Linked DNA regions of Daphnia pulex. The protein of the gene in region 1 interacts with the protein of each later gene in a pairwise test. Links are inferred from orthologs where the notes say so. Each region holds a gene or a part of one and is shown on either strand. Other genes may lie near its edges.

Region 1 (10,095 bases):
CCTTCATCAGCTGTCACGGTGGTGACGGTCGTGGTGACAGTGGTAGTGGTGGTTCCGGGCTGTAATTTAAAAAATGCATTTTATTGAATTGCCACCCATTTAATTCGAGAAATATAGTTCCACTTTGATGCGTAATAATTAACTATTACATTATTACTTATGAGAATACTTACAGCTTGAGAGTAAGCGCTGGCGATAGCCAAGACGCCGAAAACGAGGGCAACGTTGAAGAACTGCATGCTGAACGTGTCTTCTGAAAATATCAGATCGCAAACTGATGTTAATGGATTGCTTTTCATGCCCTTTTATATGTATTCCCAATTTTACCCTTTCGTATGTTATTCAACACAGTCAGAAAACGGTACCGGTAGTGACGCACGTATATAGCTAATTTTCTATACTCTTTGACCTGCGTTACGTATCTACTTCGAGTTGACGACAAGATAACTTGAAAATTGTCTACAAAATTAAAGCCAGACTGTACTGGTACTAGACAGTGCCGTCCCCATCCAGCTGTTGGATGGAAAATTGATCAGGTCTTATCTATACAGTTACTGTGTGCTGATAGTATCTGCGCAAGCTCGTGCTGTCATGCAATTTTTTGCTCTTGATCAATCATCAACACCCCTCCCTCCCCCCAGCCACCACCCAATCATTTCCAGTACTGATGACGAGAATACCGTGAAATTTATTAACTGAAATCAAAGCGATGGCTTCATTGGCTCGAATTTGAAAATACGGTGGAAATGTTGATTGTTTTTTTTAGCCAGAAACGAGTTGCTCAATAAATTGTGTAACAAAATAATGATTCTGTTGAATCAACCGACACGTAATTATCAATAATGAAAATGCATTGAAAGTTGAATTTGTTTATTAGTTGTAGTAGGAACTTTTCTGTTTGGCTATGCGATAAGCGAGAAAAAACTGCTGACCAGCTAGTAGCTAGAGGCAATCGTACAATAATAATATGATTTCATCAAACACTCTCTCCTCACGGAAGTTAAATATTTAGAAGCGTGAATAGGGAGATGGGGCAGGAGGAGTAGCGCGCCCAGCACTTGTTTTCTTTGCCAGTGCGATAAGCGTGAGTGTACTGGTCTTCCAGTGGCTTTTCAATCAACTCCAGCTCGGGCAGCAACGTAGCATCGCGCCGGACACGGTTGTTGTTGCTGTTGCCATGGGCGGTCAGAAACTGTCGCATGATTTTGGGAAATTCTAGCAGGCTTGGCCTGTCGTGAAGTGTATAGTTTGAAATGATAGATATTTATGAAACCAGTGGCATTTGAATAATAAGATATAATGCGTTTACGTGAAAACCAGATGCATCAGTTTGCCTAGGATTCCGTGGTGGGCCAATGGAGCTTCGGCCAGCTCGCAAATGGCCCGTTGCATACAAACTTCGCCGTCGAATCCAAACCTTAAAATTTTAGCAATTGTAAAATTGCTTAATTAAATATTATTAATTTAGTAAGAATTTAAAGCGTCGTCATCACTTTTTGAACAGAATCTCAATATGTTGGTAAACGGTCCGCCTCTGTTCGTTCGCTCGTTGTTCTTCGAGAAAGTCGTAATCGATCAGATTGCTCTCGATTTGCCCTTCATCGCTCAGGTCTTTTTCGAGTTGATCCAGACTGCCGTAGCGATTGTTGAGCTGCGTGAATGTCGGCAAGACGAAGCGGAAAGGTAAGCTCATGGTGAACGAGGAGAAGGTGTTGTTGAGTGGACTGATGCCCACAGACATGTCGAACGCTATTTTGAGGCTCGTGTTATCTGGCAGTGATAAAGCCGTCCGACTGCTGGAACTCTGCCGGCGCTTTCGTTCCAGCTTCTCGTCAGATTTCACGTCGGCAATGGGGCTGCTGTAGTCTCCCGTGCCCGACAGCACTAATTCGTCGTCAGCACCGCGATTTGTTTGATGCTCGGCATCGTAGGAAACAGCAGCGAGGCTTCCAACCGCTAACAACAACCAGATGCGGATCATTTTTCGAATGTTTTGCAAGGACCCGTGTGTGTATACCTTTGACTGTGGCGGTAACTCGAGATGAACTGGTTGACTGGCTCGACAATCTTGTTACCTTTTATTGTTACCCTCCAAATTGACTATACGTGGAAAACTTTGGATGTCAGAAAATTTGCGTGTTCATTCAGTTGTAGTTTTATTTGTTTAGATAATGCGCCTCTTCCCATCTATTGTTGGAATATGTTAACAAAAGCGTTTCCTGTTTCCCGTCTGCCGGGAAGCGATGATGGGAATCGCACGATCCTCCTATCAAGTCGAACTCTATAGTCGCTTGGACCAAAAGAGTTATAGGCCGAATTTCCACGGAATCAACAAGTCGTGCATGGGTCAAGATAACTGTGTACCCGAGAACTCGAGTATACGCAATATTGTGTCTGTTTCACATAGCAACAAGATATTACTAGGTGTCCCAAAGAGGGTACAGCACTATACTGCCCTTCAGTCAAAATGTCAGCCTATATCAGCCGGGTGCTGAACTTGATCGAATAAACAAAGGGATCGTTATTCGTTTCCGTTACTCAGAAATGTAAACCGGTTCTCCATTTTCAAAACAGAGACACATGGCTGTATTACGGCACAAACAAACATGATCATCGCCAAATGGTCGAGCTCGTTCCATTCATTTTTGATTTTTCAAATATTGAAACAAACAGTTTTTTGTTTTATTTGCTCAGCAGAAAACTGGACCCAGTGTTGATAACCTAGGATCCAAATTTCGAGAATTGCGGCTACTATTCCACGTCAAAAAGCCTGTAAGAACTTTGCTCTTTCTGAAGTTTTTATACCGACCCATACTGAACTCCCACACTTTTCTGCGATAACAAAATAGAAACAGATTTATGGCCTCCTTGGCCTTACGATTTTCAACTTGAACGACACGTAATATTATATCGACGCTTTGAAGACACGACACATAAACATTTGGAACTGTAGGCTGGCAGAAAGCTTGGAACTCAGCAAAATTGATTATTTTATGACAATCAAATCGCTGAAAATCTCAAGTTAATATATTTAAAATTGAGAATTATTCACCGAATAAGTTTTTTTAAATGTAATTCTGTATAATTATATAGTTGAAATCACATAGTGTCTTGTTATGGCCTCTGCTTTGGATTGTGCTGAGTAGTTACAATTGACTTTCGTACACTGCGTATATCATACGTATTCAACTAATTCAAGGACTAAGAATCAAGTATCAGTTTGGACGAGATTTTATTTATGCAACGTTGTTGTATAGGATGTGAGTGCACTTTTTTCTAACACGAATATATCGAAATAGGAACTTTAGGTTTCAGAACAAATCACTGGTTATAGTCTCTACATTTTTTGTTTAAGTTAAAAGTCCAAAAGTTTGAAGACAGAAATTGGACATGCGGAGAAATGAGTGAGACAACCGCTGGCTGCTCTACCCTTCAAATAGGCGTCGTTGTATTCGTCCTTATTCCTTTTCCCCAAGAAATGCAGCTCAGGGGGCAGCGACGTAAAATTGATGAAATTCTGCTCGTGTTGAGGAAAATCCGATTCAGTTGGCCTAGTTTGCAAATAAAAGCTGTTAGTTTTATCGCAGGAGGAACCAAATTCGCGCTCTAAATTATCTTTACAAAAATAAGATGTCAAAGATTTTCCCGAAAAGTCCGTGATTGCCTAGTGGAGCTTCAGCTAGCTCGCATATGGCCCGCTTTAAGCAAGCATTGCCGTTGAATCCAAAACTGTTGAGAAAAAATTAAATTGAAACTTGAATCCCATTCACCTGATTGCAAATATAAAAAACAAATCAAAATCAAATATTTTACTTTTGAAAGAAACTTTCGGCATATTTGTAAACTTGTCTCCGATCATGATTAGCTCTTTGTTCCTCCATAAACTCGTGGTTCAGTTCATTTGAAATGCGGGACTCATCGTCATTTGAAGTTCCGGATGACATGCCAAAACTCGAGTAGAGTTCGTTCAGCGCGCTAGCAGTGGGTAGATCGAATGTGAGCGGCAAATCGAACCACAGGTAAGTCAATGTGGTGTTGAGAAGTGGAACGACGGGAATGATCAAATCCATCGTGACTGATAGCGTTCCACCGCTAGGCAGCGACAAAGCCGAGCGTCGGACTTTCTTATGGATCTTGGCCGATTCCACTCCAAGTATGATGGCAGCTACGAACAGCAACAATCTGAAAGAACGGCGTAGTTTCATTGCGAGATAGGTTTGAGATTGCTCTACCTGCTGCTTTAGCTTGTGGATTGTTACTGCGACATGTTTGTAAATGTTTCGTTATTTAAATACTTTCGGATCAGTCCGTGGGATCAAAAATGTTTTGGCTAAATCGCGTTCTTTAACTTCTTTTGTGACTTTACTAAAAGGTTTAGTCATGTATTGAACTCTATGTTACGTACCGTTCTGACATTTTTTTTTCTCATCCCACCATTTTATGAACCGGAGGACTGTGGGAAAATGTATCGCAAAGTGTAAGTAGGCTATGTGACAAAAGAATATTGAAGACGCGGAAGCTTGTCCAACTTTATTATAATAAAATGAATTCACACAGAATTATGTGAGTGACAAAGGATAGCAGTTTCCATTCGAATTTTCTTTATCCGGTTTTCAAGTGAAAAATGGTGAAGGCCAGCGCTCTTTTTCTTGTGAATCATGCAGTTTTTTTTTTTTAAGTCAAATTTAGATTGTACTTGAAGCCGGAGCGTGTACGAAAAATTATAATAGCAAATTTATTGATAAAAGCCAATTTCTCGCGTAAAAAAAGTAATACTCAGAAAATATTGAAATAGAAAAACGCGCAGTTTTATTGATTGTGAAATGGATGCTGTTTAGAAATATCGTCGTCGAAAAAATCGTCTGTCAATCTGTCATTACTACATTTTCAGTTCGCACTCACAGTCAGTTAATGAGTGCCAAAATAAAATAATTCCAAATCTACTTGTAAAAGAGAAATTAATCCAGTTATTTATCAATCGTAACAGCGTAAATTTTTAATAATTTGAAACAAATAATGATCTAAACTGTGATTGTCGTAAGTACATTATAGACGTGCCAGTGAAATTTTATCCAAGTTTTAATTCAAATTTGTAATTTTCTTTTTCATAGGATAAAGTATTCAACTAAATTCAATAAAACCAATGGAAAAAACTATGGACGATTGCAAGGAATTCACGAAAGAAAAGCATGCAAAGTATTTTCTAAGATGCTTGAATGCTTTGCCCTCTTCAATGGTGTCACTGGATTCCATAAGGTTTACTTGATACAAATGTTAAAAATAATGTGGACATCAATTAATTTTTAATTTTTTCTCTAGACTTTCAATGTCATTCTTTGCTATATCTGGTCTTGATGTGTTGGGGAGATTGGATTTACTAGACAAGCACAGAAAAGAATACATAAATTGGATATATCTTTTCCAGATTTTACCAAAATATGGTGATGAGTGTCTAGAACGCTGTGGATTCAGAGGATCACTTGCTGCCACATTTGCCCTTGAAAGTCAAGACAGTAGTCAGGTTGCCAGTATTGAAAACAAAGGGTCAGTTTCAAGTCATCCCTTAGATACTTCACATATTACAATGACATATGCAGCAATCAATACCCTCCTCATTCTTGGTGATGATCTGGGGAGGATACAAAGAAAAGGAATTTTAGCTGGTGTTAGAGCTCTTCAGCTGGAAAATGGAAGGTAAAATTAATCATTTAAAAACTAATGTGTATAAATATTAAATTACATGGAACTTTTTTTCAGTTTTGCCGCCACTTTGGAAGGTAGTGAGAGTGACGTTCGTTTCGTGTACTGCGCTTGCTGTATTTGCTACATATTGCAGGATTGGTCAGTTATAAACATTGAAAGCGCCACTAACTACATCGTGAATTCAATTGTGAGATGCAGAATTAAAACTTTTTGTCGAAGCAAATTTTTGTTTAATTATCAATGCCTTTTACATTCAACAGAGCTATGATGGAGCTATTGGACAAGACCGAAATCAAGAAGGACATGCTGGCCTGACATTTTGTGGAATAGCAGCCCTTAGTTTGATGGGAACCCTTGAAACAGCTCTGAGTTCAAATCAGGTTGACTCCTTGTATAAATAGTCGCAGTTACGGTATTTTCATAAGTCCAAACTGCCTTTGACTGAACTCAGAAAGCAAAACTAGTACGCTGGCTCGTCTCCCGTCAACAAAGTGGATTTCAAGGTCGGCCGAACAAACTACCAGTTGATACCTGCTACTCATTCTGGGTTCCAGCGACACTAAAAGTAAGGCCCTACGCTTAAACAGATGCAATTTAGATCCATTCAATACTTCATAAACAATCCTCTGCAGATCCTTGGTGCTCACCAATTTATCGACCGTAAAAGTAACCGGAAATTTGTTTTGGATACTCAATGCAATATCATTGGAGGATTATCAAAGTGGATTGATCACTCAAGTGATCCGCTACACTCGTATTTAGGTATTCTAAACGCTATCATTTTTAAGATGAATAAATCTATGAGGTTAAAAAATATAAATTTTGATTAAAGGTCTTGCTGGGTTAAGTGTTTGCGAAGAGACTGATTTGGTCGAGGAGATTCATCCAGCATTGAACGTGACAAAGAGAGCTTTCGAACACTGGCAAAAGCTTTTTGATAACTAATCAGCCTAAATTTCATCGATGCAACCCTATTATGCACAACTTTTCTTGACTGATTTCACACCTCATATTGTCAATTATTTGTCAACATGTATTCACGATCCCAACGAGCTCAAACATATACTTTAAAACCCATATTTTGCTTGTGTTTGTCGTTTCGTGGATTTGTTTTGAGCCCATTGGTTTTTAAGATCAACCTCACGAGCTTTTGCTTGGGCAGCCAAGTAAGTGATTTGATGCTTCTTCTTTTGTAGCTTGTTGTAGGCTATATCTGGACCTCTACTAGCAGACTTTTCTTCAGAAATTGCCTTCAAATATGACATGTTGGGATCATACGTCAAACGCTCTCCTTGAATATCTATAATTTGTGCATCATCTGGTAATTTGCGTTTGACTCCAGAGGAACCCTGAAGTGCCTGTAACTATTAGGCAAAAAACAATTAAATCTTCTACCAGATTTTTATATGAACAAGTACATACTGCAACATGGTCAAGTTCCAATCCAGCATATTCTGTTTGGTAAGTGTCTGAAATTCCAGCCATGTTATACTGCTGATTGGTAGGCATGCTAGGGTAAGCTGGTTCAGCTTGTTGGCCTGTTGAACTGATTGTTTGGAAGACTGGCCCAACATCCATTGGTTCTGCCTGCACTTTTAAGGCTGGCTCATCCATTGTAAAGAAGCTGTCAGATACATCCTCATCATCAGAATCTTTCTTGGAAGACTGCTGTCTAGCAACAGACTGAGGAATAAGAGGGGTACTTTTCTTCATCAGGGGTTTCGCAACTGGTTTTGCGATTTCTGAAGGAGGCTCATGATGTGAATTTTTTGGAGGTGGTAGTTTGGAGAATAGTTTGGATTGTCCTACAGCAAGTGGTTTGTCTATTTTCTTAATTTTTTTTGTTTCTGTATCATCTTCCAGCTAAATGAGAAAAACATCAGTGTAATGGAAACAAAATTAGATATAAATGGAACTTACATCAGCTAGTGACGGTATGCCAATTACAATTTTTCCATTCTTTCTTTGGCTTATAATTGATAGTAGCTCAGATTTCTTCAAATTTGCTTTTTCTTTACTAGCAAGCTCTGCTAGTTTGAGTTCTTTTTCGGAAGGTTTTGGTATATCATCTAAATCTTCACGAATGCTCCCATGTTCATTTTTGTATTTAGAGAAAACTATTGCAGGCGATTGATCCATTTCTTCATCGGATTCACTGCCACTTTCATCATATGCCACCAAATTTAACGCCATTGTGTTGATTATGAAGAAATGTTTAAAACAAAATTACAAATAGTTCTGCTTGTTGACTTATTGTGACTGCTCTCTGTAATTTGTAAGGCCGACTAACTCTGTCTTGTCCGTGCGACTGACGAACTGTCACTGTGCATCTAACTTAAGATTCAAAACTCATTAGTAGATGTCGCCACTATCGCCCTTGTTGTTCCTGAACCGTGAAATGAGAGGAAATGAGAAATGAGCGAAACAAATTGTTGCTAATTCCTGTGATTTCAAATACCAAATTGAACTTCGTATCTTATGTAGGTTTATCTTGACCTATTTTTCTTATTTTTACACTGTATCAACTTATTTCTTCAAATTCTAGATGCATACTGTATTACTGTACTGTGTACTGCCACCAACAAGTTGACTTAGTGCTCAGTCACTTTCTGACTTTCCATCTATTAGACCCTCATGCTGTCAAAAGCCTAAAACTCATGTTTGAAGCACACATATAGTGGAATACTAATGTACCGAGATAAGGTATTTGCACTTTACTGCTACAAGACCATTACATTTCAGATTTTCTTATAACATAGGTATCCTTGCTCATGAACCACAGCATCTTTTCTGAATCTTGCATATTTGGTGGCGTACCCTGCAACAGCATGTTTGTTGTTATGGCTGTTTTTACTTCGGTTTAGAAGGCAACCCAGCTAAGAGTTAGTAGAGTTTTATTTTTTATAGGTAAATTTGTGTAAATTTGGAAATAGAGAGAGAATTTTCAATTTCCTTGTCCCATTGCTGCTTAGAGTTTCAGTGACATGAAGAGTGTGAAGTGAATAACCTGCACTGTGTATGTACATGTACCAGATCTGTACATGAAAACATGTATGTACATGAGGACAGATATATAACAGCTAATAGGAAATAATTTTATTTTTTAAATCCATATAGCCAATAATCATTTTATTCTTTCCTACAGATGTGCATAAACGAAAGTTATGAATTTCGTTTTGGGGTCAATGGAGTTGGCGCTGGTTGCCGTTACTGGCCTTATGCGACGTCTCGATATCAGTTTGGAATAATAGCTCTGGACTCTGAGGAATCCTCACTCATACTACTATACGATCATACAGGTAACGTAACCTAGCAGTCAACATAAGCGAGGAGTTTTAGATTCATTACATTTTTTGCATGTTTTCGTTTTGTTTTTTTGCATGCAAGTCAACCTGTAGACAGGTCGACCAGTTTGTCTTCTCGATTGAAGGTCACGAGAAACATTACATAAAACTGGCATGCGGTTGTGTAGAGGTTGGGTGAGAATGACACGTGTTTCATCATTATCAAAGCAGGTACAATATCCGCAAGGGTAAGCTTTTTGGTATTCATTTTGATATTGGTTTTTGTAGACCCATCCCCAGCAACGTCTACCTAAAGAAAGAAAGGCCAGTTTGCATTTCAATCGAAGGTCATGGAGATCATTAAGTAAAACGTGTCATGCAGTGGCGTAGAGGTTGGGTGAGAACGGGACGTTTTGTATCATTATCAAGAAGGTAAAATAACCGCAAGGCTTAATAGGAGGGGTGAGAAAAAGTCGTATAAAAGGCGAGAGAAAAGTCGATAGGGCTCAGTCGAGCGAGTATCTCCGACACGGTAAGAGCTGCTGTGCATTATTTGCTATCAGCTGCAATCTTCGTCGTATTGTCAGTTAATTTTCAGTAAAGTAAATTATTTCAGTAAATTTTCTGTTGTTCCATGGAGTTATGTATCAAATTTCAATTTTTTCTCTTTGTTAATATGCTAGTTATTTTTGCATATTATTTTTAAATTATTTATTGTCTAGTCGTATGTAAGGGCAAAGAAAAGGCGAAAGAAATCAGTCGAGTGAATATTTCCGATATACAAGAGCTAAAGTGCACCATGTGTCACCAACTGCATTCTTCGTCGCGCTACCAGTTTCAATCATGGGTGAATATTCTGTTTTTTTGTATGGAAAGTTTTATTCTATTTTTATTTCAATTTGCTATTAGCCAGTTATTGTTGAATAATAATGTTTGAATTTAATAATTGTCTAGTAAACTGTGCTGTTGTTGGGTGTTGTATCGTTGATAGCTGGGTCGACCACTGGTGTACCGATGATTCTTGGGTGTGGCGGATACCAAAGCACTACACTGCCGCCTTACTACACAACATACAACACAACCAGTTGCTACACCAATGCCTTAAATA
Region 2 (10,418 bases), on another chromosome or scaffold:
TTCAATGACTTAGCTCTTCACAATTTTCATGAAAAATTATAAAAAAAACCATTTCGAAGGTCTGTTTACGCATAACAATTGACAATGTTGTTGATGTTTGAGCAGACGAAACACAAAAGCATAGTATCACTTGCTTAAAGTAAAGTATTTTTTCTTGAATTTTGTGAATTTTAAATGGAGTTTTGCTGTTTTTTTAATTTTTAAATTTTCTGTTCAAGACATGGGTGTTGTAAAATCTTGATAAACTCCCAAAGATGAAATGCTGCTGTGGTGTGCCAAACTGCCAACTGCCAAGGAACGCTTCAGAATGAGATTCCTTAAATTGACCAGGCAGCAAAGTTCACTGGGATCCATCAAAGATTCACTTGAACAGTATGTTGCAGCTTTAGCGGCTAGTTGACTCTGGAGTTCAATCGTATCGTGAGCGTGGCTACTTTGGTTCAAACACTGTGCTGCTAAGTAACAAGCTTCGGCCATTTCTGTACCTGCAAGGCAAACTAACAACCTTTGTGAACAGGTCACCATCACTTCGTCTTTTCCAGACGATCGTACACACAGAATTTGTTCTTAGTCGATAGTTTCACAGAATTTTATTGGTTGTGTTTAAAAAATATGAAAGAGTTTCTAAATGTTGACACAAAGCATTTTCGGTCTTCTTGTTCCGTGGCCCACGGTCGTTTTCTTATTCTGAATAATGTTTCTTCTTATGGGTCTGAGAAAAAGAAAAATGACAGTTAAGATTATGTTATGTAATAAAATGAGTTTTTATATTTGCTTCACTAATCTTAGCGGCCAATTTATCTGCTTTATCCTCTCTCCAAGGCTCCAAGAAACTTTACCTTCTCTGACACTATTCATAGAAAAACGATTAGATTAGTAAGAAAAAAAATCAAAAAAAATTTTACGTTCTCTTTTGTACAGTCCGCGAAATTTAAAGACTTGAGCTTTAGATAACACTAACTCTTGTCGCAGCTTTTCGTTTTCAACCTGGAGGCTTTCAATCTTCTCTTGCAGACGGTGTAGTTCGACCTGAGGACCTCGCTTGGATGGATTGTTAGCAGTATCACTTGGAAATTTATCCGACTCAGTCTGGACCAATTCTGTATCTGTTTCTTTGATTACTTTACGATTGCCAGGGCCTTCAGATAGCACAACTTTCTTTGGCTTCGCTCCACCGAAGGCCAAGGATTTCAGCTGAAAATGATATACAACAATTAAGAAATTTAAGTATTAAACATTATTACTTATTTTACAGAATGGTCTTTACCTCTTCATTTTCCTTTGCCACAATCAATTTCTTAACAGTGATTGGGTTAAGACCACCCTTATTTCTCGTTACCTCTTTATTCTTGGGTTTGGCTTTTTCATTTTCATCAACCACCACGGGCCGGGCAGCTCGGTCGTTGCTGCTGCGGTTTGCTCCTCCGCTGGAGTTGTGGCCTGAGTCGGGGCCCTAGTGGGGATCGGTGTCTCTTTGAGTAGCTCCTCTTCAGCGCTGTCCGTATCGAACAGCCCCTTCGATTTGCCTTTCAAGTTAACAGGCTCAGTTCAAGGTGTGATCCCTTTGCCTGGCTCAGGATCTTTGGCAGATCTGAGATGCTGCTGTAAATGTCAGGTCACCATCACGTCTTTTCCAGACGATCGTACACACATAATTTGGTCTTGTAGAGCAAGTCGATAGTTTCACAGAATTTTATTGATTATATGTAGCGCTCCCACTCGAATCAATTCGCGTCCAAAATCACAATTCGAACTGAATTGCTTTTTTGAAAACGCAATTCGAGTTGAATATGAATTGATTCAAATTGCCAGAAACTCAATTCGAATCCATTCGAATGAAATCACGAAAAAATCTAAAAATTCTTTTTTTAAATTAGGCAAGAAATATTACACAAAAACATCCATAATTTTAACTGTTTAATTAATTGCAGTAGAATATCACTTAAATCGACTGGATTTAGTGATTATTCAATTATTATAATAGAATATTTGTTCGTTTAAAAGAACCCAAACAATACCCATCCCCTTCGTTTATCGAAACGAAGAGGTGGCACATCTAGCGGTCGAAATTGAAACTAAAAATATCCAAACTTTGCAAAAATTTTGTCAAATTTGACACGAATTCACCCAAATATTCGTGAATATTCACAATGAATATTCATGAATCTGGAAATGAATATTCAGGTAAATTTCCATGAATATTTACCCAAAAATATTACAATTCAAATGAATATGAATTTTGATTTTTCCAATTCGAGTTGAACTGAATATTCGAAAAATCTCAAAAAAACGCAATTCAAGTTGAATCGATTCGAATCAATTCGAATCGATTCGAATCAAAGGCAATTCGGGTGGGAGCGCTAATTATATGTATCAAAAATATGAAAGAGTTTATAAATGTAATATGACAAGCATATTCTTGTTTGATCCGTGGCCCACGGTCGTTTTCTTATTCGGTATCGTGCCTCTTCTTGTGAGTCTGAGAAAAAGAAAAATGACAGTTAAGATAACGTTATGTAATAAAAAGAGTTTTTATATTTACCTCAGTCAGTTTGGCGGTCAATTTGTCTTTTTTTGGTCTGCTTTACCCATATCGCCAAGAAATTTGGCTTTTTCTGTCACTATTCATAAAAAATCGATTAAATTAGGAATTAAAAAAAAAATCCAACAAAATTTTACATTCGCGTATATAGAGTCCGCGAAATTTAGAGATTTGAGTTTTTGAATCATAACACTCTTCGTAGTTTGTCAATTTCTGACTGGAGGCTTTCAATCTCAATATTTTTCTGGTTTAACTCGTCTTGCAGACGGCGTTGTTCGACCTTAAGATACTATATAAATTGTGTGAATTACTGCTTTTTTATTTCAACCGAGGCCGTTGGTGTCGGTGTCTCTGCCAGGCTCGTCGAGGCCAATTTTTGGCATAGGCTGATCCACCTGAATCTGGTGCTTAGCCAGCACTGCCAGAATCTCAGAGGTTACCGAGTCGCTTGCCGTAGTAAGGAACACATATAAACAACACATATAAATTGCCAGTTCAGCTGAAAAAAATCTGATTATTGTCGATGGTTTCAAAGAATTTTATTTATTATTATTCAAAATAAATGACGAGTTGATAAATGCAAGAAAGGAAATTGATAGGACGAGCTTCCCAGATCCGTGGCCCACGGTCTATTCAGTATCATGCCTTTTTTTAACGGTTTCAGCAGTCAATTTATTTTGAATCTTGGCTTTTTTGTCAATACCTGCAAGCATGTTTGCTTTTTCCTTGACTATATATAAAACTAGATTTAATTAGGGGGAAAAAAATTAAAAAAATCTTACGTTCGCGTATATAGGCTCCACGATAATAAAAAACTTCGGCATTTGAATTACGTAAATCTCCCTGTAATTTGTCAATCTGCAATTTCAGGTTTTCTATTTCAAGATTTTTCTCGTTCAATTGAGTCTCATCTTTTCCAACAATACCCTCTTGCGCTTGGGGATCATGAATCAGTTCCTAAAATGAAAGAGAAAAATGTCTTAACCTGGCAACGAAAAAAATAAATAAAAAAAATACCTTAGGACCTTGCTCTTCCCTGACCTTAGGACCCTTTTTTTTGGATAGCTTAGCCACTGGCAATTTCAATTTTTGGGCAGCTGCCCCTTTTTTCTCTTTTGAAGCTGTAATAGCTGCTCTTTCCTCTTCATCGTCGGTGGAGGATTCCGTTCCAAGAACTGAAAAACGAGATGGTACAGCAGTCATGTTGCGATCGATCGCTTCCAGAACAAGAAATGGTGACGAAGTAAAATGGCGGGACGCGCGTCCGACGAAAAAGGAGGGAAGACGTAACAAAATGGCGACTCGCGCCCACGCGCTGACATGACTCGACACTTCAAAACTCTTTTCTTTCGTTCGTTAACGTTCTTTCAGAAAGACAATACAAAGTGTACGATCATACGATCACTTAAGACAAATGTTCGACATGAAATATGTTGCGATCGACGAAATAAACGGCGAAAAGATACTCGTTTAACTTGTTCTGCATTGAGCACACGCTCCGACAACGAAAAATCTATTGCACCGACAGACTGTCGGTGCTCGAATGGTATTTCAGCTATTGCACCGACAGACTGTCGGTGCTAGAATGGTATTTCAGCTATTGCACCGACAGTCTGTCGGTGCCTGTCGGTAGTTCCTCTTTCCACCAATAGATGCCTATCTTGATTCGCTGGGTTCGCCCGTACTCAAGCGCCAAACGTACACTGAAAATTCAAGTAGGGGGCGATTCATCTCGTCCACGGTCCACCAGAAAGAGGGGAGGGGGGAAGACGGGAGGGACAGGGTGCAGCATTACCAAACCGTTTCGCAACGATAGTAATGATAACATGAAAATTTAGTTAATTTACTACGATTTCAAGGCTTGTTAAGTCTATGAAGCTAAGTCTAAGGCTAGTATCGTAGTATGAAGACGGTCAATTCTAAGATATTGAAATCAAATGCAAGAGCCGGTTTAGTCGTGATTCGATAGACGGCAAGATGTCGTCGAAATTGATGGGTTTCAGCATCCCTCTTACCGTATGCGCAACGTCGACTCCATTCCTATAATTTTTTAAAATAATACCTTTTCATAATAAATGGGTTCAAAATAGAAAGGAAATTTTTTGATTAAGCAATAGATAATTTTGTAATTTTGAAATATTGGTGGTGGACTGGTGACACTGGTTGTTTGTATTATTGTATAGTATCACTTTTCTATGATCTGATCAGGGAGGAGTATAGAGGAGAAAGCAGTCCTATCCCGCGCTGTAACCCATAGAGGTCCGGGGAGTGGAAGCCGCCACCAGCAATATTTTTGAAAAACACTTCAAAAATCAGAATTAAATTTCTGATTACTTTTTGTTTGAAGTGTTTTTCAAAAATATTGCAAATAACCCCTGCTATTTAACAAAATCATCGGCGGGTAGTCAGCTGTTCCACGCAAGCTTATGGGGAAACGGCTGAAAACTTACCCTCTACCTCATTGTGCTGCCAACTGGTGGCGGCTTCCACTCCCCGGACCTCTATGGGTTCGACTCCCCTCTCAGAGGAATAGCAAACTGCTTTCTCCTCTATACTCCTCCCTGATCTGATCTTCAATAAAAAGCCACCATGTGAGTGGGAAAATGAAACCATAAAAATATGATACGAGGTTGTCATTATCGAGAATGTAATGACGAAACAAATAATCATTTAGCACCGATCCACTGATTTGACTTATAAGTTTTATTAAGAGTTAAATGACTTAGCTCTTCTCAATTTTCATGAAAATTTATAAAACAATTTCAAAAGTCTGTCTAGGCATAACAATTGACAATGATGTTGATGTTTGAGCAGACGAAACACAAAAGCAAATTCATGATTTTTTTTAGCTAGGCGCGATTCGCGCGAAGTAGTCTTCGTTATTCAACAAATTTCTTTATAAATCTAGTGATTAAATAATGGCAGAAAAGTCAAAGGAATCTTTGACAGATTCCTCTGATGAGGGCTCTGATCAAGAACCTTCATATATATTCTACCGTGATAGACAAGAATGGAGTGATGTTGTGCCCGTCGAGTTACATGAAGGACCTTTTCCGGTCGTCGCTATTGCATATTCCGACCGATGTGATTATATATATTTCTTTTGCCTCTTGTTTATTTCAATATATTCAATATTTGTTTCCTTTCCAGTCAAAGACATATTTAACTATTTCCGAGCGATTGTGTTGAAAAATGAGATCTCAGAGAGAGCATTTCAGTTGACAAGTGATGCACTTGAACTGAATCCTGCTAATTATACAGTTTGGCAATATAGGTAATTCTAGAATATTCTCAAATTATGCTGAAATTGCATTTAACATGTATTTTTCACCTTAGACGAACTGTATTAAAAGGACTTGAAAAGAGTATTCCAAAAGAACTAACATTTGTAAGAACAATTATAGAAGATCACCCCAAGAACTACCAAGTTTGGTAATATGTCTTCCATTTTATTTGTTGAACATAAGTTGCAATAACCAACCTAACCTTTTATCTCCAAAGGCATCATCGTAGAGTACTGGTAGAGTGGTCAGGTGATCCATCTAGTGAACTTCGTCTTACCGAAATAGTGCTAGCTCAAGATGCCAAAAATTATCATGCATGGCAACACAGACAATGGGTGCTTGATACATTCAAACTCTTTGATCATGAATTGGAGTTTGTAGAGCGCTTATTAGAAGATGATATTCGAAACAATTCAGCATGGAATCAACGGTATTTTGTTGTAAAGCAAACGACAGGCTTTACTGAAGATATAATCAACCGGGAGCTGACATTTGCTGTCAACAGTATAAAGATAGTATGCAATAATGAAAGCGCATGGAACTACTTACGCGGGTAAAACTTTCACGGATGTTTTTGTAGTTCGTGTAAAAATAACAACGTTTTTATGCAGTATTTTATCGCATTGTCCAACTGGACTGAATGGTCATCCAATAGTCGAAGAGCTTTGCCAGTTTCTGGACGAGAACAAAAGTGAAGCGCCATTTTATTTTGCGTTTTTGGTCGATAGAATGGAAGAAATGATGCAGTCTGATCCTTCGAAACGCGAAGTCCTATTACCCAAAGCAGATGAAGTTTGAACCTGTTTTTTTTTGTTTTTTTTGTTTTTTTAAATACTCTAAGTTTATTAATAATATGTTCTTCTCATAGGTGCTCCAGTTACTTGCAACAAAAATGGATCCCATTCGCCGTGAATACTGGCTTTTTCTGTCACGCTATTTCAATTCACAGTTTGCCATTTGATAACGTATCTCGTCAATTAAAATACACCTTTTTTAAATGGTAAGTTATGATTGTTTATGTGCTAACAAGAATTCAAGTGGATATTTTCGCACATTGATGTGTTGTAGAATTTTAGTATTCAGAACCGATTGACTTAGCCGGTGTATTTGGCCATGTTGTAATACTATAAAACGAGCATTTTCAAACAAGAGAGAGAGAAAAAAAAGGAAAAACAGTTATGGACATAGGTGACCAAATAAGGATCATTTCGATTTTTTCATCATTGAAATATTTGTGGAAGAACTCTGAAATTTGTAAAAATGTAAAGTTAAGTGAGAGCAAATTTGGCTTTCAGTAAATGGCGAAACGCGACACATTTTGTGATGATTTGGTAAGACAACCCGTCACTGATCTTTAATTTTAATGTTTAGACTTGATGGACTCTTTCTTTTGCTTGATCGAAGGACTGCCACCTTTTGTTCGTTTCCACTTCATCCGCCGATTTTGGAACCATACTTTAACCTAAATTTTATCAAATGATTTAAGGTTTAGTTATTCATGTTTCTTCTTATTATTGAAACTGTATCGAATGTGCTTATCATTTTCACTTGCCTGCCTTTCCGTAAGATCAAGAGCAACCGCAATTTCGTAACGACGTAGTCGCGTCAAGTAATTTGAGTGGGCGAATTCGTTTTCTAGCTCACGTATCTGCTGTTTGGTAAAAGCAGTTCGTTCCTTCCTTGGTTTATTTGAGATTGTGTCCCCACTGCTAGATTCCTCTGCAAAAATAATTATGTTGTGTTTTTATTCTTGCTTGTTTGTATTTGAAATTCACACTAAAATTTACCGTCATCTTCTGAGCTGCCGGCTCCCGCCAGATCAAGAGAGAAGTCTTCATCTAGGTTAAAATCATCAATAGCAGAGGAGATGGAAGATGACGTGATTGGGGGCACTTCGTCGTGGAAAACCTGTGTCCCTGGGAACGGCTGTTGTTGGTAGTGGTCTTGATGTCCAAGGAAAGTCTGATTAGGTGGAGAGAATGCTGGAAGTGACATGGGCGATTCACAAGACGACGGCAATGAATAGGGTCGAACTCCTGGTCCACCGGAGTCATCCTGAGGCTGTTGCAATGTAGACGTCAAACTTTGATAGCAAGGTAAGGATCCTCCACATCCATTTGCGTAATTGTATCCGGCACTATCTGCGGTAGTGGGCGATGCGTTCTCCATGAGATAATTGTATGTAACGTGATTCACATTGACGCAGGTAAGACGAAATGTTGGTCCCGGATCCGTGGCGCTACCGTAGCTGTTGTGAGATTGGCGAGACTGCGAAGGAGAGTAATAAAGACTCATTTCAAATGGAACTTTTTAGCTCGGTACTGACAAAAGGAGTTTTGTAGTCGTCAGGAGTTGGACGACTTGCAACGACAATTCCAGTCCACAGTCAGATACCGACTGTTAAAAGAACTCCCTAGACAAGTCGACGTCTTCACTGCCTAAATCTTAGCTTGATGCAGTTCTGGCAAGGCGAGAAGATTGAAGGCGGAGACTTGCGTTCTTTCGGTGCGAGCCGATTGGTTGTGTTGCTTCACTCCCTTCGCCTTCCAGTTGGCGTTTTTCCTTCCCAAATCCTGTTGCGGCACCTTTCTTTTATTTGCTCAGCTGTCCACGCCGCTTCGTCCAATTCATCAATCTTAATCCAATTTGAAGTCCCATATTTCACTGGCATATGATTTGACAACACTGATCTCTTACCATTGCATTTAAATTGTGCGAGTACAATTCACATTGCCGCAATATTCAAAGTTCACCCTAAAAATTGACTTTGTAACCCAAACAGTTATAAAGTTAAAATTTGATCCTTGCAAGACTAGACCATAAAGCCCAAAGGAAAATGGAGCGTTCTGCTTACTGCATAGAATAGTATACAATTTGACTTTTACAACAGTGCAGCTTCAAAATTAAAGGAGGTATGTTTTAGTGTTTACCATTTTAAACTCCTTTTTCTAAATGTCCCCGCCACCCAATATTGTTATCAGGGATACATTCCATGGAGGCGCCAGGCTGTCTGCCAGGACCAAGGACCCCCGGAGTTTAGGGTCTACTACCCCCCTTTCTTTTAGGCTATCCGTTTTCCCGTCACAGTGAAATTTCTTTTCCAAGCAGAACAACTCGCCAGGAAGAATTCAGTTTATAACTGATGGTTTGTTATTGAGTTGCAGTTGTGACTTTTTCCATCTAACAACAACCGGAATAGTCTACTTCATTAAAATGGTGTTCTTCAATAGTTAAGTTGTAATCAGTTTAGCAGTAAGCTTATTTATGTATAATTATTTTTCAAATCAGCCTCTTGAGCAATCGATTCAAGACTTGAAAGCGGCGCAAATTTGTATTCTAAATTAAATGTTCTCTTTTGACCGTAGATACACTTTTTGCACTGGACAGATCGCAATAGGTGGGAAGAGAAAAAGGGCAAAAGTCGTTTCATCGTGTCCAACGCCTTCTCCGGTTCGGGTATCAATTTACGTTGACAGCCCCCCATCCTTTTTTTTTTTTGTTTTACTATTTCCCACCTCCAAAGACCCCCCTCTCTACACATCGACCTCTCTGTCTCACCCTCGGCGCCAAGCAGTCTGGCAGGTTCACAGTAAAAATCCCCATTTCCTTCTCTTTATTTTATGTGTATTTTACTACGTTACTGGGGCTTGCCGATGGTCCAGTTGTGAAGCTCTAATGAATGGGCGAAGCCTGCTCACACTTGAGCCGTAACTAAATAGCTTTGCCTTTTCGATACAGAGAGTAGCAGTGAAGATGGCAGGTTTCACATTTCGCACCCCATTAACCGACAGGAAGTTCATTCCTTTTTTTTTCCAAGTCTCAGGAAATCGCTGGATGCTGGAGTTATGGAAATTCAACGTAAAATCGTGTTAACAGTGAACACACTTTTTTTCATAGTAAGATGCCATCAGTTTCTAGTACATTTGAAAGGGAGGGTTAAAATTGATAAGATAAAGTGTGATTCTTTTTCTTTTAGCGGTCTTATTCGGGAAACCTGTTTTCGCAAGTGATGGACGGGCCGTTTCTACTTCCGCCGCTCCAGGAGGCCCTTCTACTCCCACAGTAACGCGAGTCTGTAAAGAGTCTTTGGATCGATACACACTAGCTGCAATTTCCAATTTCTCAATAGTATTTACAAATTGGAAAATTTCCAGTAGTAAAAAATTATTCATAGAGAGGTAACGTTGACTAAGATCGAAATTCTAAATACCTTGCACTTTCAGTAAGTCGGTCAGTAGCGAACAGAAAGAAGTAATATGAAGTACTTCTTTTATCTAATCTAATCCTTTCAGATTTGTCCGCGTTAAATTTTCAGATTTTTTGTTACCCAATCATGCTTCATTTTCTTTAACATTTTTTTTTTTTTCAGAATATTGGAGCTCTTTAGAATTCAAATGTAGGTGTGTACCGTCCATTAGGAGGCCGTCATTTTTACTCTCCAGAAATTATGAATGATTAGCTGTTACAAATTTTTTCGCCCATCTAGAACTCGACTGGCCCTGCCCAATATTCTTGGATCTTGTGTTTGTGAGTATAAAGATATATCCATTCGAAGAATTAGATTATTTGGTCAACGCCCGCACATCGTTAAG

What was found.
Region 2: the proteins of geranylgeranyl transferase type-1 subunit beta-like (region 1) and protein farnesyltransferase/geranylgeranyltransferase type-1 subunit alpha-like interact in binary tests that used the Homo sapiens proteins (3 or more experiments, as listed by UniProt). The link is inferred for Daphnia pulex from reciprocal best matches to the Homo sapiens genes PGGT1B and FNTA.

What each region holds. Positions count from the first base shown.
Region 1 is NC_060023.1:9,027,032-9,037,126, forward strand, and holds geranylgeranyl transferase type-1 subunit beta-like, read left to right. Parts: upstream 1-4,850; 5' UTR 4,851-5,037; intron 5,038-5,111; 5' UTR 5,112-5,143; coding exon 5,144-5,256; intron 5,257-5,319; coding exon 5,320-5,694; intron 5,695-5,757; coding exon 5,758-5,890; intron 5,891-5,963; coding exon 5,964-6,083; intron 6,084-6,154; coding exon 6,155-6,268; intron 6,269-6,335; coding exon 6,336-6,465; intron 6,466-6,535; coding exon 6,536-6,648; 3' UTR 6,649-6,770; downstream 6,771-10,095. Other genes in the region: uncharacterized protein LOC124197967, read right to left, coding at 1-59, 174-299; uncharacterized protein LOC124197979, read right to left, coding at 1,001-1,229, 1,310-1,417, 1,494-1,981; uncharacterized protein LOC124197980, read right to left, coding at 3,356-3,551, 3,622-3,729, 3,814-4,205; proline-rich protein PRCC-like, read right to left, coding at 6,771-7,067, 7,126-7,566, 7,624-7,896. UniProt on the Homo sapiens protein: Catalyzes the transfer of a geranyl-geranyl moiety from geranyl-geranyl pyrophosphate to a cysteine at the fourth position from the C-terminus of proteins having the C-terminal sequence Cys-aliphatic-aliphatic-X.
Region 2 is NC_060020.1:5,696,785-5,707,202, reverse strand, and holds protein farnesyltransferase/geranylgeranyltransferase type-1 subunit alpha-like, read left to right. Parts: upstream 1-5,361; 5' UTR 5,362-5,460; coding exon 5,461-5,626; intron 5,627-5,692; coding exon 5,693-5,816; intron 5,817-5,878; coding exon 5,879-5,974; intron 5,975-6,043; coding exon 6,044-6,379; intron 6,380-6,437; coding exon 6,438-6,618; intron 6,619-6,694; coding exon 6,695-6,787; 3' UTR 6,788-7,186; coding exon of another isoform or gene 7,187-7,288; 3' UTR 7,289-7,378; coding exon of another isoform or gene 7,379-7,545; 3' UTR 7,546-7,612; downstream 7,613-10,418. Other genes in the region: uncharacterized protein LOC124192714, read right to left, coding at 3,172-3,272, 3,325-3,499, 3,560-3,745; homeobox protein MOX-2-like, read right to left, coding at 7,187-7,288, 7,379-7,545, 7,614-8,121. UniProt on the Homo sapiens protein: Essential subunit of both the farnesyltransferase and the geranylgeranyltransferase complex.